3 linked regions of the Alligator mississippiensis genome follow. The protein of the gene in region 1 purifies or fractionates together with the protein of each later gene. This does not show direct contact. Links are inferred from orthologs where the notes say so. Each region holds a gene or a part of one and is shown on either strand. Other genes may lie near its edges.

The links.
Region 2: the proteins of ZRANB1 (region 1) and STRIP1 purify together in Homo sapiens (affinity purification with mass spectrometry; 4 studies listed by BioGRID and IntAct, with this or other methods). This does not show direct contact. The link is inferred for Alligator mississippiensis from reciprocal best matches to the Homo sapiens genes ZRANB1 and STRIP1.
Region 3: the proteins of ZRANB1 (region 1) and HECTD1 purify together in Homo sapiens (affinity purification with mass spectrometry; 5 studies listed by BioGRID and IntAct, with this or other methods). This does not show direct contact. The link is inferred for Alligator mississippiensis from reciprocal best matches to the Homo sapiens genes ZRANB1 and HECTD1.

The regions. Positions count from the first base shown.
Region 1 is NC_081829.1:82,514,174-82,524,640, forward strand, and holds the start of ZRANB1 (ubiquitin thioesterase ZRANB1), read right to left. Parts: upstream 4,540-10,467; 5' UTR 4,348-4,539; intron 1-4,347. UniProt on the Homo sapiens protein: Ubiquitin thioesterase, which specifically hydrolyzes 'Lys-29'-linked and 'Lys-33'-linked diubiquitin. Also cleaves 'Lys-63'-linked chains, but with 40-fold less efficiency compared to 'Lys-29'-linked ones.
Region 2 is NC_081837.1:34,617,404-34,627,870, forward strand, and holds the start of STRIP1 (striatin-interacting protein 1), read left to right. Parts: upstream 1-4,450; 5' UTR 4,451-4,484; coding exon 4,485-4,691; intron 4,692-5,747; coding exon 5,748-5,817; intron 5,818-6,432; coding exon 6,433-6,507; intron 6,508-7,437; coding exon 7,438-7,572; intron 7,573-9,477; coding exon 9,478-9,598; intron 9,599-10,467. UniProt on the Homo sapiens protein: Plays a role in the regulation of cell morphology and cytoskeletal organization. Required in the cortical actin filament dynamics and cell shape. Part of the striatin-interacting phosphatase and kinase (STRIPAK) complexes.
Region 3 is NC_081825.1:253,447,371-253,457,837, reverse strand, and holds the start of HECTD1 (E3 ubiquitin-protein ligase HECTD1), read left to right. Parts: upstream 1-4,419; 5' UTR 4,420-4,550; intron 4,551-5,112; exon of another isoform or gene 5,113-5,303; intron 5,304-6,298; 5' UTR 6,299-6,428; coding exon 6,429-6,568; intron 6,569-10,467. UniProt on the Homo sapiens protein: E3 ubiquitin-protein ligase which accepts ubiquitin from an E2 ubiquitin-conjugating enzyme in the form of a thioester and then directly transfers the ubiquitin to targeted substrates.

The sequences.
Region 1 (10,467 bases):
TGACAGAAAGAGCACGTAAGAAAAATGATGGCTGATGGAGTATGTGTTGACAGAGGGAGCAGTTCAACAAAATCGTGCTAATTGTAGTTTAGACTGCAACTCCTAGAAACCCCAGGGGACTGGGAACAAAGGAAGAGGAAGTGACAAAGCACAAGAGGGAGCTACGGACTAGTGGAGCTGGGACCGATGACAGCTTAGCCACTCAGCTGATGAGTCCTACAGTAGTTGTGCTTGTCATTAAGAGTTTATCCCCCCCACACCTCATATCACACAATCCTAAGAATTTAAATTGATAAAAATCTAAATAAATACTTAAATAAACATTAATCTATCAAAATTATTTAAAAAATAAAAATTGAATTCTACCAAGCCTATGAATATGTAGTTTTATGCTGTGTACACACACACTTGAATTGTCTTGCGGTATCCAGTAATAGCCAAACATAAGCGATGTGAGACTTGACAAGAAAGCTGTGAAATAAATTTATTTGCAAGATTGACTACTCTGTTCAAGTGACTAATTTAAAATTAGTGAAATTAAAAAAGTTTTAAGTAAAAGCCAATGTACATATACATGCACGTCTTGCATTTCTATTTTATCTTTTCATAACATTCATTCTTTATAATACACACATAATTTTGGTCAGCTACAATGGCCATCTCCAATCCACTGAGTTTCAAACTTGCCTGTTTCAGCATACCAGAAAGCCTTATGGACTAGTCCAAAGCCCATTGAAGCAAGTGCTAAGCTCCCTTTTGATTTTACGGGTCTCCGAATCAGGCCCTAAATGGTCTGAAGTTAAATTAGAAACTGAACACCTACCAAAATTAAAGCAGGAAGTCTTAAGAGAAATGTGATCCATCACCTACACAAACAGGTGCACATGAACAGAGTGTTCACTGCCTCTAAATCCAACATGAAAGTATTAAAATGTTTGTTGCATCTACGTAATGGAGCTTCTCTCTACTATTCTAGGTCACACTTGTAAATTTCTTTACTCCATGGAGAATGCAAAACAAAAGCAGTTAAGGGCCATTTTATAAAACACCTTTTAGCCATATCATGAGAAAAAAAACCTCCATAGAACATAACAAATATTACTAGTTACCAATATGATTTCTTTACTTTTCTCAGTTTTTTTGTTTTGGAGTTGTTGTTTTTTTACATTCTAAATTAATCACTGCATTAAAAAAAACCAACAACACAGAAACTAGTTATTTGGACAAATCAATTCACTTTAGAAAAAGAGATCTATGCTGAAAGGGAAAATTCTCATTCAAGCCACGATCAGGAGTCAGAGAAAACAACAACAACAACAAACAAACAAGAAAAAAGTGCCAACTTGATAAAAGGAGAAATTCAAGTATTTGGCTTCACTGGACTTTAAAATGCAGGAAAAATACAAAAACTACGTGCTGGAATGTTATTACTGGCAGTGAAATGCCTAAAATGTGAACTATGTCTAGGACTGTAATTAAAAATTGTTTTTAAAAAGTGCAACAAATTGAATTTCACTGTTATCAAAGTGACAACTATCTGCTACTTAATTTTTTACCAAGCTATGCTATTTGACAGCTAAAGCAGTCAGCTCATCACAAGCTATGTAACAAACATCAGTGCCAGAAATACATTAATTTTGCTACTTTTCTCCCAAATCATTTATAATGCTAATTAGCAGTCTTGCTTTCAAGATTATTTTTTTTTTTTTTTTTTAATTACAACTAAATCGCTTTCTTTCCCTCGCCACCCAATACTGACTTATTTACTGGTCTCCAAACACTACACTTTTAGCTCTATTTTACTACAGGATTGTGGCCTACTAGTCATCTAATTAGGATGAGGTCTATCTGCTCACAAGCAATTGGTCTGTTCAAGGCTCCTGTGTTTTACAACGTTAGAACACATGAGATTATTAACAGAATTTCTGAGATGAGGGGGAACAGATCCAAGGGCAGTTTAACTACCATGTTAACTTCAATGTATGATGATGCAGCACAAAAAGAGTTTAGCATGCAGTTCTATGTGTGAAGTAACAAAAATGGATAACTTACTTTAGCCCTATGTAAGAAATATGGGAGAACAAAAGCTATGTGAAGCTGGAAATAGAACTTAAACATGGGCTGATTAATACTTTAGTTAGCCTGACACCGTATCAAATACTAATTAAAATTCATGTGAATTTTAAAACACACAAATTATGTTACTGGAATTCATTAATATAAATAAAAAGCCAGGCTTCCAGAGATTCAATATTTTAACACGTTTCCTTTGTTAGGCTAATGGACAGACATATGCAAACAAATTAGTTTCTAGAGAGTATGTATTAAAGCTGGCCATGATTTTTTCTTCTGATAAGAACTGTAAGATTACGCACTAGATGCTACAAGGGTCACAACAGCTTTTAACATGTAGGCCATTTTGCCACCTCCATAGTTGTGGGTCAGTCATTTACTAACCCACCACTCCAAAGCCTGCTATGCAAAGATAACAAAGCTAATTAAAAAAACCCACCTCAGCAAGCACAACTATTTTATATGTTCTTTAAACAACAGGGATAATTAGAAGTGATGCTTGTACATTGAGGTTGTGTAAGCTCTTCCATAACGCACTGTTGTATAGGAGTTCCAACCCTCCACAGTACAAGTTTCCCCTTGCTTATGATGTCCATGTGTTCCTGGAAAATGGTGCATAACTCAAATCCACGTAAAGGGAACAAACAGGAATATGTTCCAAGACCTTGACTGTACTGATCCCCAGACCCATTTCTACCACTTTTACAAGACAATGTTGGTACTCCCCAACAGCAGACAGTACACACAAGCACAGTGCACTATCATAATGGGGATGGCAACTACAGAAATGCACATCGCAGACGAGCAAGGAGCACAGATGCACACAGGAGACTATTTTAATGCACGTCACTTCCACAATGCACCGCACAAAGTAGCTGATTGTGGGTTTCCACCACACCAATCGCATATAATGAATTTTTGATATAAAAAGGGTCACTGCGTAAGAGTGAATTTGCACATACCAAACCCACGTAAAGCAAGGGAAACCTGTACAGGTCTCCCTCGCTTTACACAGGTTCTGTACATGCAAATTCACTCTTACACAGTGACCCTTTTTATACCAAAAATTCATTATATGCAAGGTAAATTCACTATTATGCAATCGGTGCGGTGGAAGCCCAGTCAGCCACTTTATGCGGTGCACTGTGGGAGCAATGCGCACCAAAATATAGTTCCCCGTGTGAACCTGTGCTCCTCGCTCGTCGTCTAGGACACGTTTCTATAGTTGCCATCCCCATTATGGCTTCTATGCATTCGGCTAGCTTATCTCCTACCCCTCTCTGCTGTTGATGAGTACCAAAATTGTCTTGTAAAAGTGGTAGAAGTGGCTCTGGGGGTCAGTACAGTCGAAGCCTTGGAACGTGTCCCTATTTGTTCCCTTTATGAGAATTCAAGTTATGTGCAGTTTTCCAGGAACACATGCGCAGCATAAAGCGAGGGAAACCTGTACTAGCTAAAACGTGAAGACACGGTCTTGACCCAAAAGTATTTTTGATCAATTAAAGTCCACTGTGACCCATGCTCTATAATCAGTATAAAAGCAAGGGTTTTAAATACCTCCCCTCATTAAATTTTAAATCACAACCCGCCATCCAAACACCGGGACGAGGGCCATCAAGCAGATGCCATGACAAGAGCACGCTTAGCGAATCCTTTGCTCCAAAAGCCTGATTGACGCAGTGGCTAAAGCTGCTAAAATCCTAGGAAATGCAACAGAAGCAGAAAAGTTACTCCGGGGCCGTCACGGGGACAGCTCTATCCTGCACCGAAAAACGTGAAATTCGTTCTTCACGTGCAACTGCAGACTGCACATCGCTACAAGCCTCTGGCTTCGCTCTCGGGCCTCCCTCTCCCAGACCCCAGGAGCGGCACAAAGCCATTCCCAGCACAACCGCTCCTGACTAGCTAAAGTCGAAACATCCCAGACCCCAACGGATGAATCCCCCTCCCCCCCTTAACTGCGCGGGCGACCTACGATGGGGGTGGGGGAGGAGCTGGGGGTCTCGTGCATGAGTTAGGGAAGTAAATTTGCTGCGGCCGATCCGACCCCCCTCGGGGCCCGCGGGATAAGCACTCGGGGCAGGCAGGGAAGCGCTCGTGTCCGCAACCTCCCGCACACCTGGGGGGGGGGAAAGTGTTGGCGGGGGTGGGGGAGGGGGCTGCCGGGCCCCGAGAAGCCTCCCCGGGCCCTGAGCGCGGCCGCGGCTCAACGACGCACCCCCACCGAGCTCCAGCGTCGAGCCCCAACCCGCGAGCGGAAGAGGGGTGCCTTACCTCGCTGCCCGGATCCGTCCCTGCAGCCGTCCGCCCGCCAGCCCGCCCGCCCGCGCCCCGTCCCCACCCCGCTCAGGACATGGTGCGTCCCAGCCGGGCTGCGCTGTCTCGGGCGCGGGCGCTCCCACTCGGCGGCGCCGGGGGGTCGGGCCGTGTCCCGCCGCCTCCCCGCTCCTCTAATGGCGGCGGCTGAAGCGAGCCAAAGCAAAATAAACCCCCATTCGACAGCCAGCTCGTACGTCAGCGCTGCCTGGCGCCTGGCCTCGCGCTCATTGGCCCGCAGCGCCGCGGCGCCCCGGCCAATGGGAAAGCGCCTCTTTGGGGCAGAACGGGTGATGTCATCCCCCGCTTCGCATTGTGAGGGGGCTCCGACCCCTCCCCCCGGAAGCTCCGCCCCCTCCCAGAGAGCCACAGCCCCCCTGCCCTCAGGATCCCAACCCGCCAAGGAGCCGGATCACCCCCAACAGAAGCCAGAGTGGATCCCCCCAGGGTGGCAGGTGGCAACGTGAGCTGTTTGCCAGGAAACTTTGGGCATCCCTTCCTGCTGCTGGCTGAAGATTGAGTGTAGGGGGGGGCCCAAACTGTGGGCTGCTTACCCCTGGGGGGACACAAGCCACCTCTGCGGCAGGGGCGCGTGGGAGACGCTGTGTGACAGCAGGTTTAATGTTCATTCTAGTCATAATTGGTGTTGAAGGAGTTAAAATATAAAGTGTATGCTGGGAGAGGTGCGTGGCCGCCTGGTAAATCTGGAAGGGGAGGGACGCAATAAAAAAAAAAAAAGTTTGGGCTGGTAACGCTGGTCCTCAGAGGAGCTGACCCCTCGATGAAGTAGGTTCTGCAGCTACCCCCGTATAAAATTGAGAGCTCAGTTCTCACGTAAGGTCCATTTGGTTGGATGTTATACATCTGGGTTGGGATCTACACAGGCCTCGCTTCCGGGACCGCCATCAACCACCTCACGGTCAACGAGAATGAACTGTATTTGTTATTGATTGTAAGACCAAAGGTATCAGATGAGCGATACAAAACTTCCTAAAGGGTGCTTTTGAAGAGGATCCTTTCAAAGGACACATAGTGCTGTAACTACCCCGCTGCAAGGTGCCACTGCGAAGGCTGTGGTGCATCTAACCCCAGCCAGCTCTCCGATAGTATTTTTTGTGTAATACAAACACAGGTACTGTAGTGCGTCTCCGAGTACTAGCATCTGCAGACTCCAGCCTTTAGTAGAATCCCCTTAATGCACATTTCAAGAGAAATGTTTTAAAAGCACTTTCAAAAAAATATTTATCTTCTCAGCGTTTTGACTTCAACTGTTGCATTAAGCAAACCAGCAGTTCATTGGCAACACGTAAGGGGTGCACCCAGGTGCTCGTGCCCCCCCTACAAAAAGGTGCCACCGAGTGTCAGCGGTGCCTGCAGGCAGTCGCCGCTCACCACCCGGCTCCTCGCCACTAACAGCTCCAGTGGCATCTGCAGGAGCTCCCTACTTTCCACCACTGCGCTCCCACCACTGCGCCTCGCCAGCTGCCACAGGGCACGCGTCATTCATGCAGCAGTTCCTAACTCAGGCCCATGGATGATGATCAGAGATATACAACATTGGCTGTGCTAAGGGACTCCTCACGTGTAGTAGCTGTGGTATTATTTTAATTCCTCTCCAAGAGGGCACTTTAGTGGCCTATGAACTCCATCAGTCAAAATTCAGTTCTTTTAGCATGGTGTCCTTGGGGGGGGGCCTTTATGCTGTCTTCCTGTAATCTTCAGACTCACCTTTTGCCTCCTGCTTGCAGGCCACTAGCCTGAATTCTCCAACTGCTGCTGGACCCGGCTCCCTGACACCAAGGGGTTATTCTAGACTTCTCACTCGTAGTTCTTAGGCTGCTCAATATCTAATTTTGCATCTATAACCAGAGGCTGCTACCTTTGGCCTCCTGCTTCCCTCTATGTTTTAGCTTCCTTCTGAATGTTACTATTTCTTCCCAATTTAAGTTGTATGGAACCTTCTATTAGCTAGCAGTCTGACCAAGCCTTCTGCCATCTCAATTTTTGTTTGCATTTTTTTGGTCTAACAGACATCTACTGAATTCAACCAGGGGCAGTGTTTGTCTTTGGAGTGCCCCAGGGAAAGTGTCAGTATTGGGCCTTGTTCTTCCAAGAGAAGAACTCTACTTTGGACAAGGCAAATGTTATTACCCACAAGAGACCAAAATGAAAGTATGTCTTCATTTACAAGAAAATAGGTTTGATACAAACAATACTGAACAGGGGGAAAAAAGAATGACTTTGCCCTGTTAGCCTGGTCCTACATTCTCTGTCTCCACTGAGCAAGTGATGTCCCAAATCATGCTTTGGCAAGAATGCCCAGAGTTAAATATAATTAACTACACACACAAAAAAATTGGGACAGCCATATTTTTTTATTGCACAGCCAAATATTAGATCCAAATCATAGAAAATTTGGGTTGGAAGGGACCTTGGGACATCATTTAGTCCAACCTGCTCAAAGCAAGACCATCCCCAACTAGATCATCCCAGCCAAGGCTTGGTCTAGCCAGGTCTTAAAAACCTCCAAGGATGGAGACTCCACAGCTTCTCTGGGTAACCTGTTCAAGTGCTTTACTACTCTGTGAGAAAATTCTTCCTAATATCTACCCTAAACTTCCCTTGCTGCAACGTGAGACCATTGCTCCTTGTTCTGTCATCTGCCACCACCGAGAACAGTGTAGCTCAGGGGCAGGCAATTATTTCCAGCAGAGGGCCGCTTACCCAGTTTTGGCAAGCTGTCAAGGGCCGCATGGGTAGCCCCGCCCCTTGACAGGTGCCCCGCCCCCTGGTCACCATCTTGGGACCAATGTCCCAGGGCCAGCGGCAATGGGGTCCAAAATGGGGCACAGGCTGGCAGCGGTCTGTGGAGCCAAGCTGAGCTGCACCAGCAGGGAGAGTGGGGAGCTGACCCAGCTCCATAGAGCCCCTGCCAGCCGGGACCCCTGCACTCCTGCCGCCCTGCTCTGGGCCCTGCTGCCCCTGGCCCCAGGACACTGGTGTGGGCCCCATGTTCCCACTGGCTCCCACACCCACTCATTCCCAGTGCCCCCCCAGCCCCACAGTACAAGCGGGAGGCAGCATGCACCCCTGACCCCCTGCTCGCTGGCAGGGGACAAGATGGTGCTGAGCACGGGGAAAAGCGGCCCCTCCCCCACCCTGTGGCTGGTGTCCCACGCTGCAGCCACTCGCAGCCCGTGCAAGGCTGCCTGTGCCTGCTAAGGACAGCCCTGCGTGGCCTGCGAGCAGCTGCAGCAGGGAGTGCTGGCCACGAGGGTGGGGGAAGGGCAATTTTTCCCGCGTACTCAGCACCAGCTCGTCCCCTGCACTTCCCACCCCCCCCTTCCTACCTGAGCTTCCCATGCTGGAGGAGCCACATGGTCCCAGACCAAAAGCCCCTGCTGGGGCTCCTGGCTGGGGGGCAGGGCCGGCCGGGCACTGCTGTTGCAGGAGCCCGCCGGGGCTTCCTCTGGGTCCTACTGCCCCTGGCTCCTGTCATTTTTGACAGGAACCAAGGACAGATAAATATTAATTTTCTACATTTTTAGGGGCCTTGCAGGCCAGATAGAATGGCTTAGCTGGCCAGATCCAGCCCATGGGCCATATTTTGCCCACCCCTGGTCTAGCTCCATCCTCTTTGAAACCACCCTTCAGGCAGTTAAAGGTTATTGTTAAATATCCCCCAGTCTCCTCTTCTTCAACCTAAATAAGCCCAGTTCCCTCAGCCTTTCCTCATAAGTCATGTGCCTCAGCCCCATCACCATTTTTGTTGCCCTCCACTGGACTCTCTCCAGTTTATCCACATCCTTTCTTTAGTGTGGCCTCCAGATGTGGTCTCACCAGGGCTGAATAGAAGGGAATAAATCACTTTGCTTGATCTCCTGGCAACACTCTTACTAATGCAGCCCACTATGCCGTTAGCCTTCTTCGCAACAAGGGCACACAGTTGACTCATAGACATAGTCAGCTTATTGTCCACTGCAACCCCAGGTCTTTTTCTAAAGAGCTGCTGCTTAGCCAGTCAATCACCAACCTGCACCGGTACATGGGATTGTTCTATCCTAAGTCCAGGACTTTGCACTTGTCCTTGTTGAACTTTAGGAGATTTCTTTTGGTCCAATCCTCCAGTTTGGCTAGGGGTCTCTGAATCCTAGCCCTACCCTCCAGCATATCTACTACTCCCCACCCAGCTTGGTGGGAAATGGATTTGGACAAGCTATCTTTAAGAAACAGTGACATTGTTAGAGGACACCTATTTTCTTCATATTATATTGTCTCTAATAAGAGATAATTCAGAAAACGAACCTTGGTTTTAGGAGATAATTAAGCAGTTATCTTTTTTTTTTTTTTTAATAAAAAGGCAAATGCTGTCGTAAATATTAAGAACTGTTTTAATAGTGAAATACAGAAAATATCCAGAAATAACTGTTAGAGATGAGACAGGCTAGAAATATTAAATTTACATTAAAACAAAAGATAATTATAGTTATGGGTTAGTTAGCTTCCAGGGTATTTTCTAAATTTCTCAGGAAACAGATAACTTTCTAGTAAAATGTAATACAGTGAGCTACATCAGCAAAACTGTGGTATAAATCCTGGAAAGGACTGTAAAAGCTAGATTAAAATATACTAAATTTTTTTTTTTTTCACAGAGGAAAGAGGATAATGTAAGTAAACAAAATTTAAAAAAAACTATTATTAAAATAACTTTAGAAACAGATAATTATTCTGTTTGTAAAAATAGTTTTACTGTTACCGTGCAAAATGGAAAGTCCATATCATAAAATATTTGTAAATACAAAGTAACAGAAATGAAGAAGTTTCTCATTAAAATATTTATTGAAATCATTCATTATCAACAATATTACTATCACAAGAGAATACTGGCTGTATTTTAAGGACTCCAGGACCATTTTTCTTTTATGACCTCTAGTTGTTGGCAATGCTGTCCCCTCTCTTTGGCTTCATCTCAAAAGCTGCTGGCATCTCCCAGGTTTACCTTACAGATCAGTAGCACTGAATTTTCCCATTTGTTCTCGAGTTTTAAAATATAGCTGGGAGCAATTTTCAACTGTTTAGAGCAGGAATGTTTGCACAGTGGGTTATATCTGACAGGACGTAAAGTTCTAAATTGGGAGAGGAATCAAAACCTGTGACTTAGCCACATATTATTGGCAGTAGCTTTTATATCCGATTTAATAAAAATAGGTTTATCCTATTCAACTTTTAAAAGAATGCAGCATAAATAAAATGCAGAATAGGAGATACATATATGCCATCCAAAATGTTTGCTTTATTGTAACACTTCAAAAACAGATTTCAACTTCCCAACAATTCATTTGGAACACACATACTAGAACAGGAACTACTCATAGGGCACATCCAGATGAGCGCGGACGTGCGGTACATGGCAGACCGCAGACCCACAGGCTCCCAGGGTCAAAAAAAGAGCAGGGCAGCACACATGGTGGCAGTGCACGCTGCCCAAAACCAGAGCCTGGCAAACCAGACCCACGCTCTGGCTACCGGTCGGGCATCCTGCCATGGCTTCAGCCCTAGAAGGCTCTCAGGACTCCAAGTAAGGCTGCTGGGACCAGCACAGTTGCTGGCCCCAGCCTCCCTTACCCCCTCCCGCCCAGGGAAATCTGCTGTGCCCCAGAGCAAGTGTGGCACGGGCATTCCCCAGGGACAAGTAGCAACACAAGGTATGCCACTGCTATTTGTCCCCAGGAAAACAAACATCCACATTTGTCTGGACACGCCCATTCTGAAATAAAACTTCATAAAGTTTTATTTTCGGAAACTTGCATTGTGAATTTGAATTTGTTATATGTAAGACAATGAAGGACAGCGGCACCTGAGTTCATGATAAAATGTGTGCTCATGCGCACATGCACACAAAGAGAGGAACACCACTTGCATGCATGTTTCTAACATTTCTTTTGGAGCTCTATTGCAGCTTTCATAAAATCATAGGAAACCAGGGCTAGAAGGAACCTCAAAGTCATGTAATCCAGCACCCTACCCAAGGCAGGATTGTCCCCAACTAAACTATTCCAGTCAAGTCAGTGTCTGACA
Region 2 (10,467 bases), on another chromosome or scaffold:
CAGGTACTTCCAATTCTGCTAGAATCTGCTGGTACAAAGACAATCAAGGTGCTACAGTGGACCGCAGCCATCGCCTCTTGTGCTCCCTTGCTATCAGAGGTCACTTTCTGGCCAATCTTGCCCACATATGGAGGATACATTCCTAGTGCTCTCTTTAAGAAACCTACTTCTGCTTGTTTGTGGGTGATGCTGGCTGCTTGCTCTGTCTAGGAGATAAAAGCTCTTAGTTGATCAGAACAGAGGCTAAGTTAAGATTAAAAGGGGTAGCTCACCTTCCCAAAACCATGCAGTGTCTCCAGTGGCTAGTCTCTTATTTCCCCACTCTCTTCTTTACAGTCCAGCACAGCTCCTTGGTCATCTTTTCTGCCCCTTCTCTGAGATGCACATAGCTTCTTTGCTGACTCATTGCTGCCTTTGGCTGCCTCTGACTGCCAGACCCGCTTCCAAAGGACCATGCCTTGAGTGTAAGGATTGCTGTAGTCTGCCCTTGTACCCCTTCCTCTGCAGCCTGGATTTCCACTGAACCAACAAGTCTGTGATCTCTTATGGGCGGGGGGCTGGAGGTCTTGGTCTCCTTGTCTCTCGCCCAGTGAAGAGGATATGGCTGGGAACATGGGGAAGCTCTCTTAATTGTTGATGCAATCCAGAGGGTTTGCCATGCACCAGGACTCTGGCTTGCGCTTTCCCTTCTCGCTTTGTACGTGCATAGGAAGCTCTTGTAATTGCAGCCCTGGATCTCAGAGCAGACTTGGTCTCCCACTCAACCAAGCAGAGCCCACATATGTTCCTAAATGTTTGCCCTTGTGACTGTTGGGGGGGTGGGATCCTGGGCAGTTCCAGAGTCCAGACCCCCTCTGTTCCATTTGTCTGTCTCAGTGTTAGTGTCAAAAGGAATCTTAGCTTAAGGGCTTCATCTCTGTATAAGCCATGTAACAAAAGGACACAATGGAACAAATGGTCCCACGTCTAGGGAAACCTTGATTCTGTCAGAGGGAGCATGTCCTCATCGACCTGGGAGGGATAGGTTTATTTTGTATATGAATGATTTTTAATGAATGCAATATTAATCCTTGCAGATGAGCAATAAATCATTAAAGTCTAATTAAAAACGATTAGAAAAACGACATCTCTTGCGCGGGAAACTTCTTTTAAAGACATAGCCTGGCACCTTCTCATCAGCAGGTCAGCTGTTGCCATTTTGGGCATGGGAACAGAGCTGTTGTTTGCCCCTTTTAATCAGGACCTGCTCAGACAAACACATGGTGGCGCACACTTCATCCTCAGCAGCTTAACAGTGGGTGGTGGGGAGAGGGGCGTACAAAAGTAGCCGTTGCCGCAGTGGAGGTTGATCATGCCAACAGTGTGCGACTGCTCTAGGTATAGAGTTGCACTGCTATCCCTCTGTTCATCCTCCTGATGAGGTGGTCAGACCTTTAATTGATGGGCTGTGTAACCTGGTAGGCTTCTTATGGATACAAAGCAATGACCTGGAGACACAAGTCTTTCTTCTGCATTTACTAGATTCATTCAGACACTGGAATCCTTCTGTACAGCCCCCTGACAAGGGCTCTGCTACTGAGCTGTGTTATACTGGCGTAGGATACCGATGCATCAGGCTCCTGTTATGACCAGCAAATTCTGAAGCAAATTGCTAAAGGAATCTGCTCTCTATCTGCCTGTTGATACAGATGTCACCTAGTGTTTGTGTTTGTTTAACTAGTGTCCCTTCAAGGTCCCTTTACAAGCCTGCTGATGTTCAACACAGTCCTGTGGATGAAGTTTTAGAGCGGCAGTTCCCAACCTTTTTAGACAGTGGACCGGGAAACTGTGGGCCAGTATACTGCAGTCTGGAAGTGACGGGCATACTGCAGACCGGCAGCCAACCCTTTTTTATATACTCAGTATAAAAAAGGGTTGGCTGCCAGTCTGCGGTATGCCCATCACTTCTGGTCCAGCAGCCAAGCCTTCGTGGACATGGCCCCGGGGATGGGATCCTCTGTTTTGGAGGATGGAAACTGTTTGTCAATAAAACACTTGATGACCACCTACTCTGATTTTTTTTTTCCCCCTTCAGTCCTTGCTGCTCCCTGGAGGTGCAGTGCAGATATATTTGATGACAAGGTGCTTAGCCCCACATGGGGGCTCCCTGAAGAAATCAGGTTTAAAATTGAACACCCTTCCTCTTAGGCCTAGGATGTCTAAAATGGTTCAAATTCCAATGTAACCAGTTTGCCAGCCTCATTACTACTGACTTAGCATGTCCAGGGCTAGCGTCTGCCAGGGGTTCACTGAGTGGGGAAATCCAGAGATGTGGATCCTATTTGTGGCTTCAATTTCTTCACGTAAATGCTAGTGCTGATCTTTGGGTGAAGCACCGATGCCTCTGAGTGAAAAGCACCAGGGAAGCAAGAAGATGAAACTTAACCAGACTTGGACGGAAGTTCCTTCCCTTAGTTATTTTTTTACATTTTTCTTTATCACTGAGCTCTGCTGAGGTGCATGACTGCAGTTTGAAGTCAGCTGAGCAACCCTTATAGAGCTTTGTTGCAGACAAGCGCCGGCGCCATGTTTCCCTGCCATCTGCCCGCTCTATTTTGCGTTTCCGGGGTTGGTAACAAAATCCTGCTCAGTCAGTAGTGTGGGGAGGAGGAACTTTGCCAGTGCCGACATGCCTACTTCTCTGAGCAAAGCTGCTTGGGGCCACCGTGGCCTTTTGGAGCCTGTGTACTGGGAGCTGTTAGGACTCCAGGGTCTCTTATTAGCTTGGTTGCTGGTATTTTAATAACCACTTTATAGCAAGAGAATGGGAACACCTTAAGCCACTTTTAAAACAGGGCAGTGGGCATAGACCCTCGGAGGTAGCCTCACTTGAGCTTGGACCCTCATAATGAAGCTAAACAGGAGCTGGTCACATTTGAGCAACCTCCTACCGCCCATCTGCTCTAGAGCCTGCTGTGAGCTGCCTGCCACCTTATGCAAAAGCTGCTTGCATGGATGAGCGTGCATGCCCTGAGCAAGCAATGCAAAGACGGGCGTGTTGCCATTTCTGCCCCCGGCACCCCCAGGACTTCCACCTGTCGGCTTGCAGCTTACAAGGCTACCCGGCTCCAAGCAGGCATTGTGGCACTTGCCGTACTACCAGGCCAAACCCTGGTGCTGTCCCATCCCCTTCTTTTCAGAGCCCGGCTGAAAACACCAAACGGGTGACTGGGCTCTTCCCATGAAGCTGCACGTAGCCCATGCTCCAGAGAGCCAAGCAAATAGCAGAGACCACTGCTGCTGCCGGACTCGGGATAGGTTTGTGCTTTTTTTGGAAAATTTTTCATGTCCCAAGTCAAATTGGCCAAATCCATTCCGAATTTGTGAGTCTTTCAAGAACCAGATGTGGCCCTGCTACCGGCAAGCATCCTCCACCCCACATGGGGCTTCAGAGGTTTGCGATGTCTTTGGTGGGCATCCTACGTGCAGGCCCAAGCCCAGAGGCTTGGGGTTCGGATGCCCCCGAGTTTTGCTTGCCCTCGGCCATATGGCCGCAAGAGCAAGCTAGGGAGGAGTCCCCTATTTCCATAAAGTTGGCGTGTATCTGAGATCTTCCCACTGGAAGTGAAAGTGGGAGGCCAGTGGGAAAGCCACTTCATAGTCATGGTGTTTCCCCTGCTGAGACAGGTCCTTAATGCTACCAGAGCCCCTCGCGAATACAAGAATACAGACCTGTTGGTTCAGAAATGATACCTTTTATTAGCCCAACTAAGAAACCGCAAAAAAAATTCTCTTTTTTCTGCAAGTGTTCGGGCTCAAAGGCCTGTCCCCATCTTGAATTTGCCCAGAGCCTGATGAGATGTTTGCATTTCTTTTTGTCTCAGACCATTACGACTACCAAATACGTTCCTGAACCATTAATACAGGGGCTTTTTTTTTCCCCCTGGTGGAAGCAATTGCAGGGGCTAGAGGTACCCTGGGGAAGCTGTTTGGAGGCTTTGGCACTAGCTGGGGCCTGGGGACAAAAGGGGTGCTTTCCTCTGCCACTTGTTTCCTGTTCAGCCTTGGGTGTATCACTTCCTCCACTTGTGCCTCGTTTTCCCCGGCGTTAATGACGGTGCTTTGGCAGCTGGGACCAGGCCATGACGCCTTCAGGCCTCAACTGGGCTCCGGGATGAGTTTAAATCGCTTTCTGTGCTCTAGCTTGAGATGGCCACACCTAATATGGCCGCCCGGGCGGGGAAGAAGCTCCTTGATGGCCACACCCAGCATGGCCGCGCAGGGCGGGGCCCATCAGCGGCGGTCACATCCAGCATGGCCGCTGGGGGGGCGGAGCTATGTTCCATTGGTAGCCACACCCGGCATGGTGGCGGGGGGCGGGGCTTGGCGAGGCATCGAGCATGGCGGCGGCTCCTCGGCTCTTCCTGCAGTTCTCGCGAGAGCAGCCGGTGAGAGCTCGCGAGATGTGGGCTCGGAGTGGGGGGCGGGGGTGAGGCGGTGCCAAGATGGAGCCTGGCGGCTTCGTGGGGCCGGGGCCGCTGGCGGCCAACAACAAGCCGCGCAGCGGCCCGGCACCGGCACCGGGGCCGGGGCCGGGGCCTGGTCCGGGTCCAGGCCCAGGTCCAGGTCCAGGCCCAGGCCCAGCGCAGGGCCCGGGCCTGGCAGGCGGGAAGGGCCGCGAGTTCAACCGCAACCAGCGCAAGGACTCGGAGGTCAGCGGAGGGGTTGGGGTCGGGGCTAGACGGGCATGGAGGGGGTTGTGCCCCCACGTCTCGCGTGTGTTGACACCCCCTACGGTGCCCGTCCCTGTGGCAGGCAGGGGGTTGGTCGGGTGGGGCCCCGATGGGTGGTGCAGGGGGCCCGGCCGGGGCTGGACGCCATGTCCCCTCCCAGCCCCGCAGGCAGGTCGTTTCCGAGTCGCATCTGCTGTGCTGCTTGGGACACGGATCACCGTCTTTCAAAGAAGAAAATGCCGCCTCCTTCCCAGGAGCTGATGGAGACGGAGGAGCTCCCAGCGGGGGTGGGGGGGGGGGTTGTGACGGGTCACAAAGGCTCTCAAAGCCGGAGGCTTGCCTTAGGGCCGGCCGAAGAGCCTCTTCTCAGGAGATTAAGGCTGTGTCTTGAGGAAGTCCCGAGGAAGAGCTTTCTCTTTCCCCTTGGAAAGGCGCGGGATGATCCTTTCTTCTTGTGACAGGTGGTTTAAAGCAACTCCGGCGTCTCGCTGGCTTGTTATTCTCCCCCCCTGCACTCGGGCACTTTCCCCGTGTTCTTGGACTTCTTGTTTTTGTCTGTTTCTTACTTGGCGTGGAGGGCCCTCCTGCACGTGACATCCCAGCGATGCATTTCTGCAGGGGTTCGTGCTGTCCGACATCAATGCGGTCTCTGAGGCCCCTGTGGTCAAGACCTTTAATGCTAGGATTAAACGAGAGGTTCTGTCTGTTTTACACAGTGATTTTCACTTGAGGAGATCCCCACCCCCCAAGTTGTCTTGAGGCCAGTTGTGTGTAGAGATCACGTATGGCTGCGCGCAGCAGCGCAGAGCAAGGTTACACAAGAGAGCGATCAGTATTACATCAGCCCAGAAGACGGGGGATACACAGCAGGTTGCCTCAGAAACATTTAAGATCTGCTGATAAATGCCGGGTGTTCGGCTGAAGATGCAGCATGAGCCTGCAGCAGGGGGTTAACTTTTATTGTTCTGACTGATTTACTGATGCTTTTTAATGAAACGTGCTTTGTTTAAAAGTGAATTTTCCTTCTGTCACCAGGGCTATTCCGAATCCCCAGACTTGGAGTTTGAATATGCAGATACCGATAAATGGGCTGCGGAGTTATCTGGTAAGGGAATTTAATCCCTCTTGATCTCTAAAGAAAAGTTGTATTTTGCTATGCACTCATCTTTAGCTGCATCTTGGTGTTGTGTATAGTAAAGCTAATGCTATTTTGAACCATAGTTTTTGCCATATGCTGTGTTTTATTTGTCTTGAGTCGGACAACAGAAACTGTTGGTTCCGTTTGAGTGCGTCTTTTTCTTTCTTTTTAATTGGGTTTTTGGTTGTCATCCTAACAGTTGCTTTGCTGTTTGGATTACAAGTACTTCTAGGCAAAAATATCTTATCTCTTAATTTAAAGACATCTTTAGTTTGGCAATAATAGTTTTAACCATCAAAAGTTTTCATGTTAAATTTCACTTGCATAATGCCCTGGGTTTTTTTATTGTATTAAACTCTTGATTATGTGAAATGTGAGTGATGGGGACCTTAAAAAAAAAAATTAAAAAAAAAAAAAAGAAAAGAAAAAAACACATCTGATTGTCAGGAGCTTTAGGATTGAGTTCTGTTCTGTGCCTGTTTGTTACGTGACTACCATAGGCAGTCTTTGAGAAGTACTTTTTGGGGGGGATGCTGAAAGAAAAGTGACAACAACCAGACACGGTTTATGGTATGTTGGCAGAACTGTACAGCTACACTGAAGGCCCAGAATTCCAGCTGAACCGAAAGTGCTTTGAGGAAGACTTTAGGGTCCATGGTAAGATAAGTTTATTCTTCCCTTCTTGTCCCCTGTTCATAGGTTTTAGGGTCACCTGTAGAACATTCATGAGGAGATGCAAGTACTGATGTGTTATCCCTGTGTCAGGGCAGGAACTGACTACAAACATCCCTTACTTGGTTTACAACTTATAGTATTTGCTGGCAAATATTGTCTCTATCCAAGGGACACCTTGCTAATGTACCTCACCGATGAGCACATTGTTTCTGGCTCATTCAGTAATTTATCTCTCTAAATGTGGTGGACAGTTAGTGCCAATTGTGGCTGTGGAAGGCACTATGAACAATCAACTTATTTTACCTATGCCTTTTGGTCTCAAACTGGGATACTTGTATCTCATAGGGCATGTGGCAAACTCCTAGAGGGCATGTGAAGGGAGGAATGGGCAAGCAGAGAAAGGAAAAGGGAAATATAAATAGGGAAAAAGGAAGAACAATTCTGCAGTTTCTCTTAAGTTGTTGGATAGCTGATGTTAAGGGCAGCAGTAATGACCTAGTATTAACTTTTATTATCCATGCTATGGTACAAGACCCAGACAGTTTGGGAAGCCTGACCTACTGTTGACCAGCTATTAGACTCTACTGATTTCTGGTTGTAGCTGATGTGTATTTCAAAGGATAAGTCTCATTAATCTGATCTTGCAGTAGCTGGCATTAGTGAGTCTCCTCAGTGTGACCTCTAGCAGATCAGATATGTTTATATTCTGTTCCAGGGTTGTGATGAACATCTTGCCCAGATTGACAGTCTATCTTAATGTCAGTACTGGATACCCTGAATTTTTGGCCATGTAATCTGCATCTTTACATAGGAAGAAGAGCTGCAACTGGTCCATGGTGTTGTGGCTTTTAGGGAGGTATAGAAATAGCTAGTCCTTCCATTTCACCAAAGTGATCGTTCTTGGTTTTTCAGTGCATGATAAAAAATGGACCGAGCTGGACAACAATCAGCACCGGACTCATGCCATGCGGCTCCTCGATGGGCTGGAGGTCACTGCCAGGGAGAAAAGGCTCAAGGTAGCCCGGGCCATCCTCTATGTTGCACAAGGTAGGGGACCATGTCAGCTAAGGGGATTTGACCCTCCTGAAATCACCCCGGCCCTTGCTTTTTCTGTGCTGAATCTGTAAGGGGTGTTAGTTTAAAAAACAAAGAGAGAGATTTGAAATCAGTTTCCTTTGTGTCCCTGCAGCTGTCTCAAGCTGCTTCAAAATGTTATTTCTGTAGTGCCACCGCCCTTAGGGGGTCTCTTCGCACCTGTTGCCCAACTGGTCCTGGCATGGGGCCGGCCAGTATGCCAGGCTCCTGGGCTACAAGTTCTAGAATGCTTAAAGGGGTTCTTGTAGCATTGGAACCGGGCACCCCAGGGTGCTGGGCTCCTGGTCTGCAAGTGTTCCAGGATGTTTAAAGGGCCAGGGAGCAGGCTGGGAGAGCAGAGAGCACCAGTTTTCCCACCTGGGCAGCCCATGCTGATAGCAGCCTTGTTCCTGTCTCTGCTCTGCAGCAATGGGATAGGGCAGCCTGCAAGTCTACCTGACAGATCACTCTGTGGTTTGTCTGCTAGCCAGCTGTCTGCTAGTCTGGTAGCTTTGGAGTGGGGGGAAGGAGAACAGAGCACTGTGGGACAGTGGGGGGGTCTATCTACCTGGCCAGATGTTAAATTTGTGTTGGCATTAAGTTCCTATTTAAACAGCAACTTCTTTGTCACAGATTAGCCACCTCTTTGCTGGGACAAATTCCATTGACGTCTGGCATGGTGTCATTTCTCGTGGGAAACTTGACCATTTCCTGTGACGTGTATGGCCTGGAGGAGACCTGAAATACCCTTCTTCCCTTCCCCTTCTTCCTGCCTCTTTACTAGTGTGTGTCGCTCAGTTTCCAGCAGTGAAACAGACAGACCATTCTCATCTCGAGTCCTAGCTGGGTTTGCATTTTGGGGCTGGGTTCCGAGGCCCAGGACACACAAGTGTTTGGAGCAAAGATGGTTTTGAGTGTCAGAGCTGTGCTTCTCAGAAGTGCTTCTGATAACATATTATTTAAGCTGTCTTTGGGCTCTCTGTTCTGCCTATACTGGCATCTGAGGAGGTTCCAGTGTAAGTTAGAGCTGTCTGGGGCCTTGCAGCAGCCTTCCTACCGCTGCCAGTAGAACACTCCATAGCACAGTGTGTGGTGCTAAATGCTCCAGCCACTCATATCAAGCCTGCTGTCTGTGCTGTGGGAAGCCTGGGGCTATGGAGAGAGGCCTTTCACAGATGCTGCACCCTCTGAATTTTCCCCTCTAGCTTCTGTGCCCTGTTTTTACAGTTGCCATCCCTGGGCCAGGGCTCAGGCAGGACACTGGTCTCTTTCTTGTGTGCTAACAAAATTCCAGGGCGACCTGTTAATTCTATCTTGGTGGTTCTCAGCCTTTTTGGACCCTTGGGTAGACTTGAGGTGCCCCTCAGAAAATGCCAGCTCTTACTTTTCACTCTTCTTGCTTATGGAAAAATAATAGTGTAGTTTTTTGGTTGCAGAGAACTTGGAAGGCTCAGAGCTGTGGATTTCTATTTGAAATCTCTGGGTTTATCTTATGACAGTGCTAATATTGTATGGTGCCTTGCACCACCCTTGACAGTACCACCCTTTCCTTGCACCACCCTTGACAGTACCCCAAGGTGCTATAACACCCTGGTTGAGAATCACTGCTCTAACTGAGTAAGTTGCAATTGGAATGATTTTATTCAACCCTGGAAAAAAATTCTGGTACAAGGTTTGATGGAATCAACCATTCCCATTAGTTGGACCAACCATGGGAGGCAAGTGACCTGCGTTTTGTCCATCTCTTTCACTAACACTAATGCAGCTCCACATCATCCAGAGGACAGACCCTTCCCCTGCCTGTAAATGTGCATCTGATGCCCCCAGGTGCTGCCAGGCTCACTATCTGTCAGTGAATCGGTAATCATGTTTTTCTAGGCACCTTTGGAGAGTGTGGCTCTGAAGCAGAGGTTCAGGCCTGGATGCGATACAATGTTTTCTTGCTGCTGGAAGTTGGTACCTTCAATGCTCTGGTGGAGCTTCTGAACATGGAAATTGAGTGAGTGCCATAGAGTTGAGGGGATGGGAGGAGGATGGAAAGCTGTGCCAGTAACAAGTTGATAACTGGATTGTGAACTGCTGTACCTGGATATCTTTCCAGCTTGTGAAAGGTACTCAGTTGTAAGCAGTTCTCTGCTGCCAACTGAGGTCCTGTGACATTGCTGGGCAGTCTCCTGTTAACTTCTGTGGGTTGGTTTGGGCCTCATGTCCAAAACTATGTATGACAGGCAAAAGCCTTTTCATATTGCCCTACCAATATGCTCCAAACTTGTTGTGGAAATACCAGCTCTCACTGTCCACTAGGTCCATTTGCTCCCTAATCCTCGTCCCGTGGACAAATGTGCTGTGTTTTTGTACTGCAGAGGTCTTAGTTTGTAGGACAAGCAGTTTTTACTAGCTGACAAGCAGTTGTCAAGGAAGTGGCAGCTGGGCTTGTTTCAGCTGGTGACTTGCAGTAGAAAATCTATCATATTTCCAGTCTCTTGAGACAAGCTTCCTGGCCATTGCAAAGCAGCTGGTCTCTTTTAATAACAAAGGGCATACTTGAGAAGTCATCTCCTGTGTTCTCACTTGATCACTCCCCTGCTGTGGGTAGAAAGATAGGAGATGTGCATGGAGCCAGACAGTTTTGGAGAATGTGATTCCTATTGGGAGTCCATCTGTGTAATCTGAGAGCGAGGCTGTCACCTCTCACTATCTGTCATGAGCAGATGCTTGGCTCGCTGTTAATGGGAACGCAGGGTGAAAAATCCATTGAGGAGAGGGCGCTTTATTTTTGGTGTCTCTCTTCATAGTGGAGAGCTTAACACTTGAGTGAAGGGTGGCATGACTAGATCTGAGAGCCAGTAACTCTTAAATGGTAATCAC
Region 3 (10,467 bases), on another chromosome or scaffold:
GGGGCTAGTGTCCCCAGATACCAAGTGGCCAGGCCTCAGAAACTCCTGAGAACAAGTAGCCCTGAGCTGTTTGCCAGGGCAGGATTTTATACTGCTGGGGTCTAGCCTTTAGCTCCCCCTGGCTGCAAATCTGGGAGGACCTGAGCAGGGTCAGTTTGCCTCAAGTGGCACAATTTGCCCCACACCAAAGTGCATGTTCAGGCACATGTGCTGAGGCACAATTCTTCGGCAGAAATTTGTGCCACTGCTACTTAAACTGCTGCAAGCACACGTACCTATATGTGTTAATGTACTCTCTGGGTTTATTTTGTGAATCATGTTTGTACATGTAATGGTGCTAACATTGTGCAGCACCCTGCAGAACCCCTGAAAGGATCTCAAGGCACCCCAGAGTGCCATGGCACCCTGGTTGAGAATCACTGTTCCAGCTAAATGCGATTTATTTCCAAATATAATACTGAGCACTTACATAGCACCTTCTACCTGAACAAGTCAATATCTCTCAAGAGGTATGTCTCACAACTGCCCTCTAAGATGGCTATTACTACACTCCTCTTATTTTGTAAATGACAAATTGAGATATACAGAGAGTAAGGGACTTGGTCAAACGTACAAAGAGGTGAGTGCCACACACAGAATTAGAATATAGGCCTAGTACCCACTGCACTTACTAACTAGGTGAACCATGTGCAGTGAACAATTAATTTAGCTCTTCATGTGGTATTCATGAGCAGGATATAATTTTTTACCAATTTGTTTACTATTCATGAATGTTTAAATAGCTTTTACAAGCTAAAACTAATGTGATTGTTCTTTCACATGATTTCATATTCAAATTCTGTCACTTGTCACATGGTATTATGTTCCCTATTTAGAGGAATTAAACTTTATAAATGACTTCTGTTTGAAACTAGTTTAATGATTAAACAAATCTTAGCTATAGGCTCAACATTTTCTTTTTGAATATTCATGTTAGCAGAACTTTGCTCATATGAAAATTCACTTAAAGCAAATATGTATGCAAATGTAATTGAGGTAAATATTTTTTACTAATCACCCATCTCTATTTCCCTCCACTAGCCACTTTTGCTTCAACTTAAATGTATTATAAAATCAGTCAGTTTTGAAGATGAATAGTTAGTATGTTTTGGTGATAAGCAGAGACAATATAAAACAATTATTTTGAGAGATGTCAATTCCTGCAAGTAATGTAATGGAAGATTCTCTCATACTTATTATGATACAAATTTGAGTCAGGGCTCAAATCCGGAGGGGATGCAGTGGTGAGATGTACCTCCCCCTCTTTCGTTGTGCCACATGATCTCTTGCCGTGGGGTCCGGCTGGAGCCCATGAGGTGAGTACAGCCCCTTGTCCCCTCCTTTATCCAGCTGCTGAATTCAGCAGAGGAAGAGGGATGGAAGGGTGAACAGTAGCAGCCTTCACTTCAGCCAGTCTGCCCTGATTGGCTAGTGAGCTCATGGCTCACTGCTCATGCAGAGCTCCAAGACTGCACATTCTTACTTTTATGTTAAGTGAAAAATCCCTTGACCACAATGGATAAGCATAAGGTTCCACATATGCATAAATCTCTGCAGGGCTGGACCCAGTGACACACTATCAACATATGACACACAGATTCAACTAACTTTGTTATTGGAAAAACAGGACTATGAACCTGTTTTCCTCCTCTTGAGACAGACTTTGAATAAGCAAGAATCTTTCTACAGGCAGGATTTCTGAACGAATAATGTGGAGTCACTGGCATATGACAGGTTCCAACTGTGTGAGACAGCATGACTGCTGCCACTGCCTTTTTGTCCTCTGAATACACCTCTTCGCCTAATGACAGGAAATGTCTATGATGTAGGCAGTAATGACATTCAAACATGCTATAATCTTATTTACAATATTTATATTATTAAGCCTCACATGACTAAGTTTCCTAACAAAACTCCATGTGATTCTACAAAGTAAATTATTGTGAAGACTTTTTGGTCCTTAACACTAATTTCAGAGCACTTTGCTTCCTTTGTTTTTAGAATTATATGGGACAATTGTGTAACTATTTACAGTATGTACTAAAGAGACTATTGAGAGACACTGCTATGATAATATACATAACCAACAAATTCTGAGGTTATAAATTATGGGCAAAATCAGGCCTCTGGTGTGATAGTACTCAGACTTTGTCACAAAAAGGCGTGTCCATATAAGAAAATATTATTGTGTTTGAAGGTAGCTGTAAAGGATCAAGTTAGCTTGATACAACACGGTCTATGGTTGATGGTGTTTGCAGAATTGGGTCCCAAGTAATTAAATGAACAAAAAGGCAAATAGCCTGAGTTAAACTTAAGGGTAGTAAACTCAGTAAAAAGGCTAAATAGTGGGCAAATAGGGATGAATTAAAGAATTAAACCATAGCAATACACACAAATACATATGCACACAAAGAAAATAAACATGGAAACCTTGTGGTACATTCTTTTTCTTCTTCCATTTTTTGTCAGCATATCATTCATGTAATGCCTGATCTTTCAGCTGCTTAAATAGGACCCCTTGTGAATGAAGTTGCATACATGAATGAATGCTTACAGAAACAAGTTCTTAGATTAGAAGGCCTCTGGGGCAAGGATACATCTTTCTACATTTGTGTTGGGCCTACCACACTATTGTATGGTACATAAAGAATTCATTATACCTTCAAGGAGAGCTGTGAATGTTAATTAGTTCATGTCTGCACAGCAGTTTGAAACAAGAAAAGGGCTGGATAAATGCTATTTAACTATTAATAATATTATGTGATTGAACTATGTTTAGAAATCACGTGCTGTTCGGCCTGGGCTAGTACTTTGAAAAATGGTTTTCAAATAGCTATGCCTTACTCATGATGACAAGATAAATACTGTTTAAATCATATCAGCATGAACTACGTGTAGGGTAATAGACTATAAAGCCTGAAGGGATTGTTGTGATCCTCTGGTTTGACCTCTTGCACAACAATAGCCATATGACCTAGCTGTTTAGTTTTAGTTTGAACTAATTCTCCGTCAACAGAAAGTTTTTAGATGCAGGATAGACAAATATTTTCAGAAGAGGTTTAGATGGGGATCATCCTGCCTTCAGTACTGGTTGGACTGGATGACCTCCTGAAGTCCCTTCAGCCCTATTTTTCTCTATTTCGTGATCACGTATTTTATAAAAAATATTAAAACTCTTTTTTTAACAATGTATAGTGGAGAATCCACTACAAACCTTAGTAATTATAATTTCAACTCTTATTCCAAGTCTGAATTTGTTTAGCTTCAGTTTGTAGCCATTATCCACTAGCCCAGCGACTCCTCTTTTTTCAAATTTCTATTCTCTATGCAGGTACCTCAAAACTAGCAATTCTCAACTTGGGTGCCATGAGAACCTTTTAAGGATGCCCCACAATATTAGCACTGTTTGGTGTACAAACACCTACACAATTCATAAAATAAACCCAGAAATTTCAAATAGGATGCTCACCTTGCTGGGGTCCCAGCAGTCTTTCCTGCCCAAGCGCAGTGGGGCTGGGTCCGATGATCTTGTGACGTCCCTTCCAGCCCCTAACATCTACGAATCTATGAAACCTGGTATCAAACATCTCTTTACATTTTAAATGAAAAAACTTGCCAAGGCCTGATTAAAAAAAAATAAAAAATAAAAAGATTGATGAAACTGAATGTGCTGGTAGAAAATGTGTTGTACAGAAATGTTCAGCCAACTGTACCTAAAAAATGCCACCAAAAAAACTTTGCCATGCCTCTTCATTGCTTGCCCTATTTGAAAACTTCAGTGTCAATAGGGTACAATTAAACTCCTGGCAAATTTCCCCTCCCTCTAGTCTCTTCTCAACTTTTGTGTGGTCATGTCTCCCGGGAGGAGTGAAGGTGGAAGGAAGCAGCTTTTCCTCACGGCTGTAGAGAAAAGCCTGAGAAGCCGTGGTCACCTCTGCAGGCTGTTTTGGGGATGTGTGCGTGCGGACTGGTCCGTAGTTAGGGGTATCTGCCTGCCTGTCACTATGGAGTGGGTTCTATCCATACATCCATGTATCTGTTTGTGTCTGTGTCTGTCTACCACTATGTACGTGTATCTGTCTGTGGTTACAGACTGGACTGTATCTATCAGTCTGTTACCGCGTATGTGTGCGGATCTCTGGATTTATTGCTGGATCTGCGCCCAGTATCTGGGCGGATAGGCGCAGCCCCCAGGGGCAGGCAGACGCGCGCGGCCCCGCGATGCGCCGGGACTGGCTGCCCACGGTTCTAAAGCCCAGTCCTGGGTTGGGAGGCAGGTTTGCCGGCGCCGCGCGGGGCGGCGCGGGGCGGGGGCCGAGGCCGCCGGGGGGCGGTTCGCGGCGCGGGGCCGGGGCCGCGCGTGACTGTGAGGCCGGCGGCGCGGGCTCCTCCCCCCGTGGCAGCGGCGCCGCTCCCCTCCCGCAGGCCCCGCCGGGCGGAGCGCGAGGGAAGCCAGCCGCTCGCCGCCGCCTCGCGGCCTCCCTGCGGCCCTAGGAGCGCCCGAGGCGCGGGTGAGTGCCGGGGGACGGGCCTCGTCTCCGCCGCCAGTCGGGTCCCCCGCGCGGCCTGCGGCCTCCCGCCAACTCGAGCGCCGCTGCCGGGCCCGGCCGGTGGGCGCCGCCAGGCCGAGGCCTTCCGCACGCGGGCGGGCGGGGAGGGGGCGTAGCGGGGCCGGACCGGGCCGGGCCTGGTGCGGGGCGAGGGCGGCTGCCTGGGGCTGCCCGGAGCGCGGGCGTGGGGGGAAGGCAGCAGGTGTTCAGCCGGGCCCAGCGCCGCCGCCGGGGCGGGGAATCCCCGCGGGCTGGAGCCGGGCCCGGCCGCCCCGGCGCGGAGGAGGCCCCGCGTCACGGCTGCGGGCTCCAAGAGGGCTGCCCCCTGCGCCCTCCTGGGCTGAAGCTGCCACCAGCCCCGCACCGGGTCCCGGCGGGCGGCGGACTTTGCCCGGCCGGGCCTGGCTTTGTGGCTCGGCCCCGCCGTGCGCGCCGCCCGCGAGCGGACCCCGCGTCTCGGCCTTTCATCCCGGGGAGGGGGCGGTACTGGCCTTCAGGCCGCGCTCGTCTTGTTTTTTCCTACCTGATTTGATTACGAGGTTTGGAGCTGGCGCCCCTTCGCTGGGGGCCTGTTTCAAGCCTTTGTTGCAGTTGCGGTGTCTGGGGGAGGCTGGCTCTGAAGGACGCAGCTTACAAAGTTGATGCAACTTGATTTAGTGGTTCTCGAGCTCTTGTTTTTTAGGCGCAGGGCATCCCAGCTGTTTTCCCTGGACTCTTGATTGCAGAAGAGCAGAGCATTTCTGTGGCAAAGAAGTCGGGAAGACCATAGCTAGGGGTTTCTGTGTGAGCTCTCCGGGTTTGTCTTGTAAAGCACATTTGTAATCCTAACCGTGCTGATGTTGGATGGCACCTTGCAGCACCCTTGAAAGGGTCTCAAGGCACAGGAGGGTGCCGCAGATCCCTAGCTGAGAATCACTGGATTAATTGGACATTGGATAATAGATAGGCACACAGGACATGGCTCTAATAAGGTACTAAGAAAGGGACTTTTGATCTTGGCCAGTTATGCAGCGTGTTTATTGGATCGGTAAATAGCACCATTTGCCATGTATGCCTGCTCCTGCCTCTAAACAGTTTTCCTTATGAACATACAATTTTCTGTATATTTGAAACACCACCTCAGCATGTCATTTAAAAGGCAAATGTTTTGAGATCTTCATTCTACTCTTCTGGTCCTTTTGTTTAGAAATCATATTCCCCTTTTTTTACTTGTTATTTTAGAAAATTAAACTATTTGGAAATGCTGAGTAAACATTCCCTTTCCAGCATCTGCCTCACTAAATTTATCTTTCATGCCTTTTCTGAATGGGTACTAATCGAGAGAGAGAGAGATCCATTTTCTTTTATAGAAAGATCTTTCTGAGAGTGCAGAAATGCTCAACTCTTGGGAAATTACACTTTGGCTTGAGAAGGTAAAATAATTGTTATTCTTCAGATAATACTTATCTGAGAAACTAGCTTACAAAGATATAACAGGTTAGGAAGTGCCGTTCCACTCCTGCCTCCAAGTTCTAGTTTTTACTAAAAATAGTAATAGATTAAAGCTTTCATCATTGTCTCTGGGGAAGAAGATTCCACTAAAGTAGAGCATACTAACTAACTCTTGTCATTTAAAAAAAAAAACTGGTCATGGTTAATGTCTTGTAAAATCTTGAGTGACACAAATGCAAGAGATGAGTATATACTTATGAGTTGCTTCTTTTTTTTAGGTGAAGACTGCAAAAGCCCTGGGTCTGACTGAAGGGAAAATTTCACTGTACTAGATTTACTCTGGCTTGAACACTTAAAGGCTATTTTTGGATACTTTTTAATTAAAGCAAAAATCAACTTTTATAAACCATGGCAGATGTGGATCCAGACACGTTGCTTGAATGGCTGCAAATGGGGCAAGGGGATGAAAGGGATATGCAATTAATAGCGCTGGAACAGCTATGCATGCTGCTTCTGATGTCAGACAACGTGGATCGTTGTTTTGAAACGTAAGTATGGTTCCTTTTGTTTGTGTTGGGAAGAGTAGGGACTTTTTTATCCATTGCGTAGATTGTGTCAATTTTATTTAACCACTTCTCCTTATTAAGTTTATACAAAATTGGACGTGGTAAACTAGAACCTTTTGCACTCTTGAAAATATGCAGAACAAAACCTTTACATCTTTGTTCAGACCATACCACCATAATATCATGACTTCCTTTGCAAAATAAACATGTCATGCTAAGAAGTGTGACACATTGAGTAGCTGATCCTGGCACGTCTTGGCTGATTCATTTCTAAAAGGCCTCTTGCAAGTTAAAAAAAAAAAAATAAAAAGTTCCTGTTTTCTTTTGTTAAAGGGAATTAAATTATTTAATTAAATTATTTTGACTTTTTTAACCCTAAAATTCAGGGTTTTTTTATTTATATTAAAATGCCTGCATCACTGAAGTTTTTTTCCCTTGCTCTAAGACGTAGTAGCACTTGCTTTGAACTTTGCAAGCCAAAAAAATTAACATAACTGGCTTTGTCGCTTAGGACTGTTACCTAAGTATCTGTGGCTTATAACAACTTATTGTAATAACATTACTCTCTGTAAACGCCAAGTAATGGTTTTGGAAGGTAGGCATTTTGATCTTAAAAAAGAAAAAAATAAGTAAAAATTGAGCCTTTAAAACTTAACTTAGTGGGCGTGTCCAGATGAGTGTGGCTGTGAGGAAGTGGGGTGGGCAGGTGTGGCCAGGCCTGGGACCGTGGGGCTGTGGCCTGGGGCAGAGCCATGATCCGCTCCCGCATGCCCCTTTGATAGACACTGGTTACACAGGTAAGAGCGTGTGTGGAGCAGATTGTGGCTCTGCCCCCAGCCCCATGCTGTCACTGCCCCGGGACCCTGTGGTTTCCATGGAGAGTGGCTGGGACCCGCAAGTGTGGGGTGTACGGCCAGGTGAGCAGGGGGCCCCATCTGGGAGTGGGATGGATGGGTGGGGCCAGGGCAGGATCTTGGGGCAGTGACACTGTGGGCCCACAGAATCAGTGCCCATCACAGGGCCATGCAGGTAGTGGATCGTGACTGCACTGGGCCTTGACTGCGCTATCACTGCCCCAAGATCGTGGCCTTACCTGCCTGTCCTGCTCCTTTATGCTGCTCCACACCCATCTACAGCCCCATCCCATCTGCCTGGCCACATGCCCCGCCAACATGGGTCCCAGCCCCCACTAGTGCATGTGGGGCAGAGTGGCCATGGTGCCTGGGTAGTAGGGTTAGGTTGGGTGGCAGCACGTGGAAAGAGCCGTAGCCGCCAGGACTGCTGGGAAGTAAGTCTGGCTGCTGTGCTGCTGCAGCCGCGCTCCAGGCTTGGGGGTGGTGGGACTGGCTGCATGTGCTGGGCCAGGTGGCACTGAGGAACTTGCTGCAGGCCAGATGAAACCCCTTGGCTGACTGGATTTGGCCTACTCTAGTCTAATGTGTCATGTTGTGGCAAGGTTTTTGACTTTCTGTTCTGCTTTCTCAACCTTTTTGGTCTCTCTCTTTTTTTTTTTTTTTTTTTTCTCTTTCCTTCTGGCCTTATGTTTCCTTTTTTTCCCTTACTCCAGCAAACCAAAGGTTGGTATGATTATTGTCTACTGAATTTTGCCATCACAGTTAAACTAAGGACTGTGGATACATACATACACACTGTTGCTAGAGTGTTATTGTTTTTTTTAGTCATGTGTATTTGACCAGTTGTAGTGCATGTCCCTTCTGCTAGAAATGTTTGTAATGATTTGCAACTTCTCTGGAGTTTAGATGCAATAGTAACTGGGAATTAGAAATTGCTATTGTAATAGCAATGTATATTATACATTGCTTTAGAAATTAGATTTGGTGCTCCTTGGCATGGAGAGCATAGAATTTATAAATATCATTATGGGTGGATATTTGTGATGAGATGAACTCTCTGGTCCTTTCCTGTTTGTTTGCTTGGATTTGTCTGGTGCTTGTGCTCTTAGGCTGTGAAAAACTGATTTACTGAGTTCTTAACTTGTCTCTGTTGATCAGGGTTTGAGTACACAATTAAAGAACTTCTGACAGCAGGGCTGTCCAACTGGCAGCCTGTGGGATGTCTGTGGACTGCGAGGGCTTAACCTTTGGCCCCTGAGCTCCTCCAGATCCAGGTGCCATTGCCCCATTGTTCTTTTGCTTTCCAAGTCTGTGGCTCCATTCCCATTGTATGCTTAAAGATGAGGGCTGAATAGGAACTTGTTAAACATAAAGTGTTTGTAAACATTTTTTTTCTGCATTTGATAATGCAAATGTATTATCTTAGTAAAAGCTGAATACTGATTACAAAAGACTTTGGTCCCTTTACATGTTAGATGCTGTTTTGTAAAAGCTTATATAGTAAGCACTTGTAAGGTTATACTGTTGCTTTTATTTATGTTTTTTTTTTTTTACCCATCATAATTTGGGTAAAATGGGAACCACTTACCATTTTCAGTTTTACCATTTGCCAGTGGTTTTGAGACTGTTCCACAGAACCGTGGTTCCACAGGAAGTCATAAAGGAGTCCACAAAGAGATTGAGGGTAATGGTGGAGTGGGTACCACCATTGCTGGGCCAGCTCTCTTGGCTCCACAGATAAGGCTTCCATGGTAGAAGTGATATGAAAGGGTTCTGTGACTTTAAGAAGTTTGAAAACCACTGTCTTATGTAGTGGAAGGCATTGGCTGGTTGGTTTCATTATATGGCTTGTTTTGGGGGGGTTTTTTGGTTTTGTTTTTTTTTTGGTTTTTTTAACTGTTTGCCTCACGGAGACATGAGAGCGGGGAAAATATAAGTAGAATAATATGTTTGTAAATTGCACAAATTGTATGGCTTCTGAAGTAGGTGGAAATTTAATCTTGGGAGTTTACTTTTATTTAACTTTTTAATAGGGTAGATTTTCAATTTACTTTGTTCCTTCAGGGGCCTGCTTTAGAGCACTGATTGTCTTGAAAAGAGTTACTGAAATCTGTTGCAAACTGGGTAACTCATTGGCTAACTTAGCCACATGAGGAAAGCATGATAAATCTAATTCTTGATAGTATTTCTATAGTTGATTTTTAGTAATATTTTGAAAGAAATTGTCTTGCCTAACTAGGGATTAGCATTGGACACATCTGTTACCAAACATTTTTCAGTGACTGATCTTTAAAATGGCATCCGATTGCCCCATTTGTAATGTAGACATAGCCTTTTTTTGACCCTTTAGGAAAATGTCTTGGTAAACATTTAAAAGCATGTTTTCCTGCTGTACAGCAAAATTGGGAGAGGCCAAGGTTGTGGTGTATTGCACAGCTGTTGCATTTCAAGACCTTTGATCTGTGAAGAAATTCTGTTTTTCAGTGCTAGTGATGATTGGTTAGGAAACTTTGGTCTGTGGAATTTAGCAACTGAAATTCAGAATACTTTTTTCTATCTGTGAGAGAATCTTTCTCAGATTTGTTTTTTACAGGAAAGTTTTGGGTTTTTGTTTTGTTTAAAAAAACATAAGGGGTAGTCAGTCGTCTTTGTGATACAAACCAAGTGAGTTGCAGTTTTAATGAAGTATGACTAATGATCACCAGTTTGATTTGGTGGTTACTGGGAAATCTGAGAAACCAAGATATTTAAAAAAATTAATAATATGAATGCATAACCTGTTCTACGTGAGGCCCATCATTATTTGTAGATTGTTTTCAGCAACATATTTTACCCAAGTCAAGGAAAACACCAATTATTTTCACTTAGCAGTGTTGGATATATTTATGATGATGCTTCTTTTCATTAGCATATATGGTAAAGATGGATTCAGAGCCTTTTATTTCATTGCAATAGTCTAGGAATTGGCTGGTTCTAGAAATTTCGAAACATTATTGAAAATGTATTGTTCAAAATATGTCATTTTCA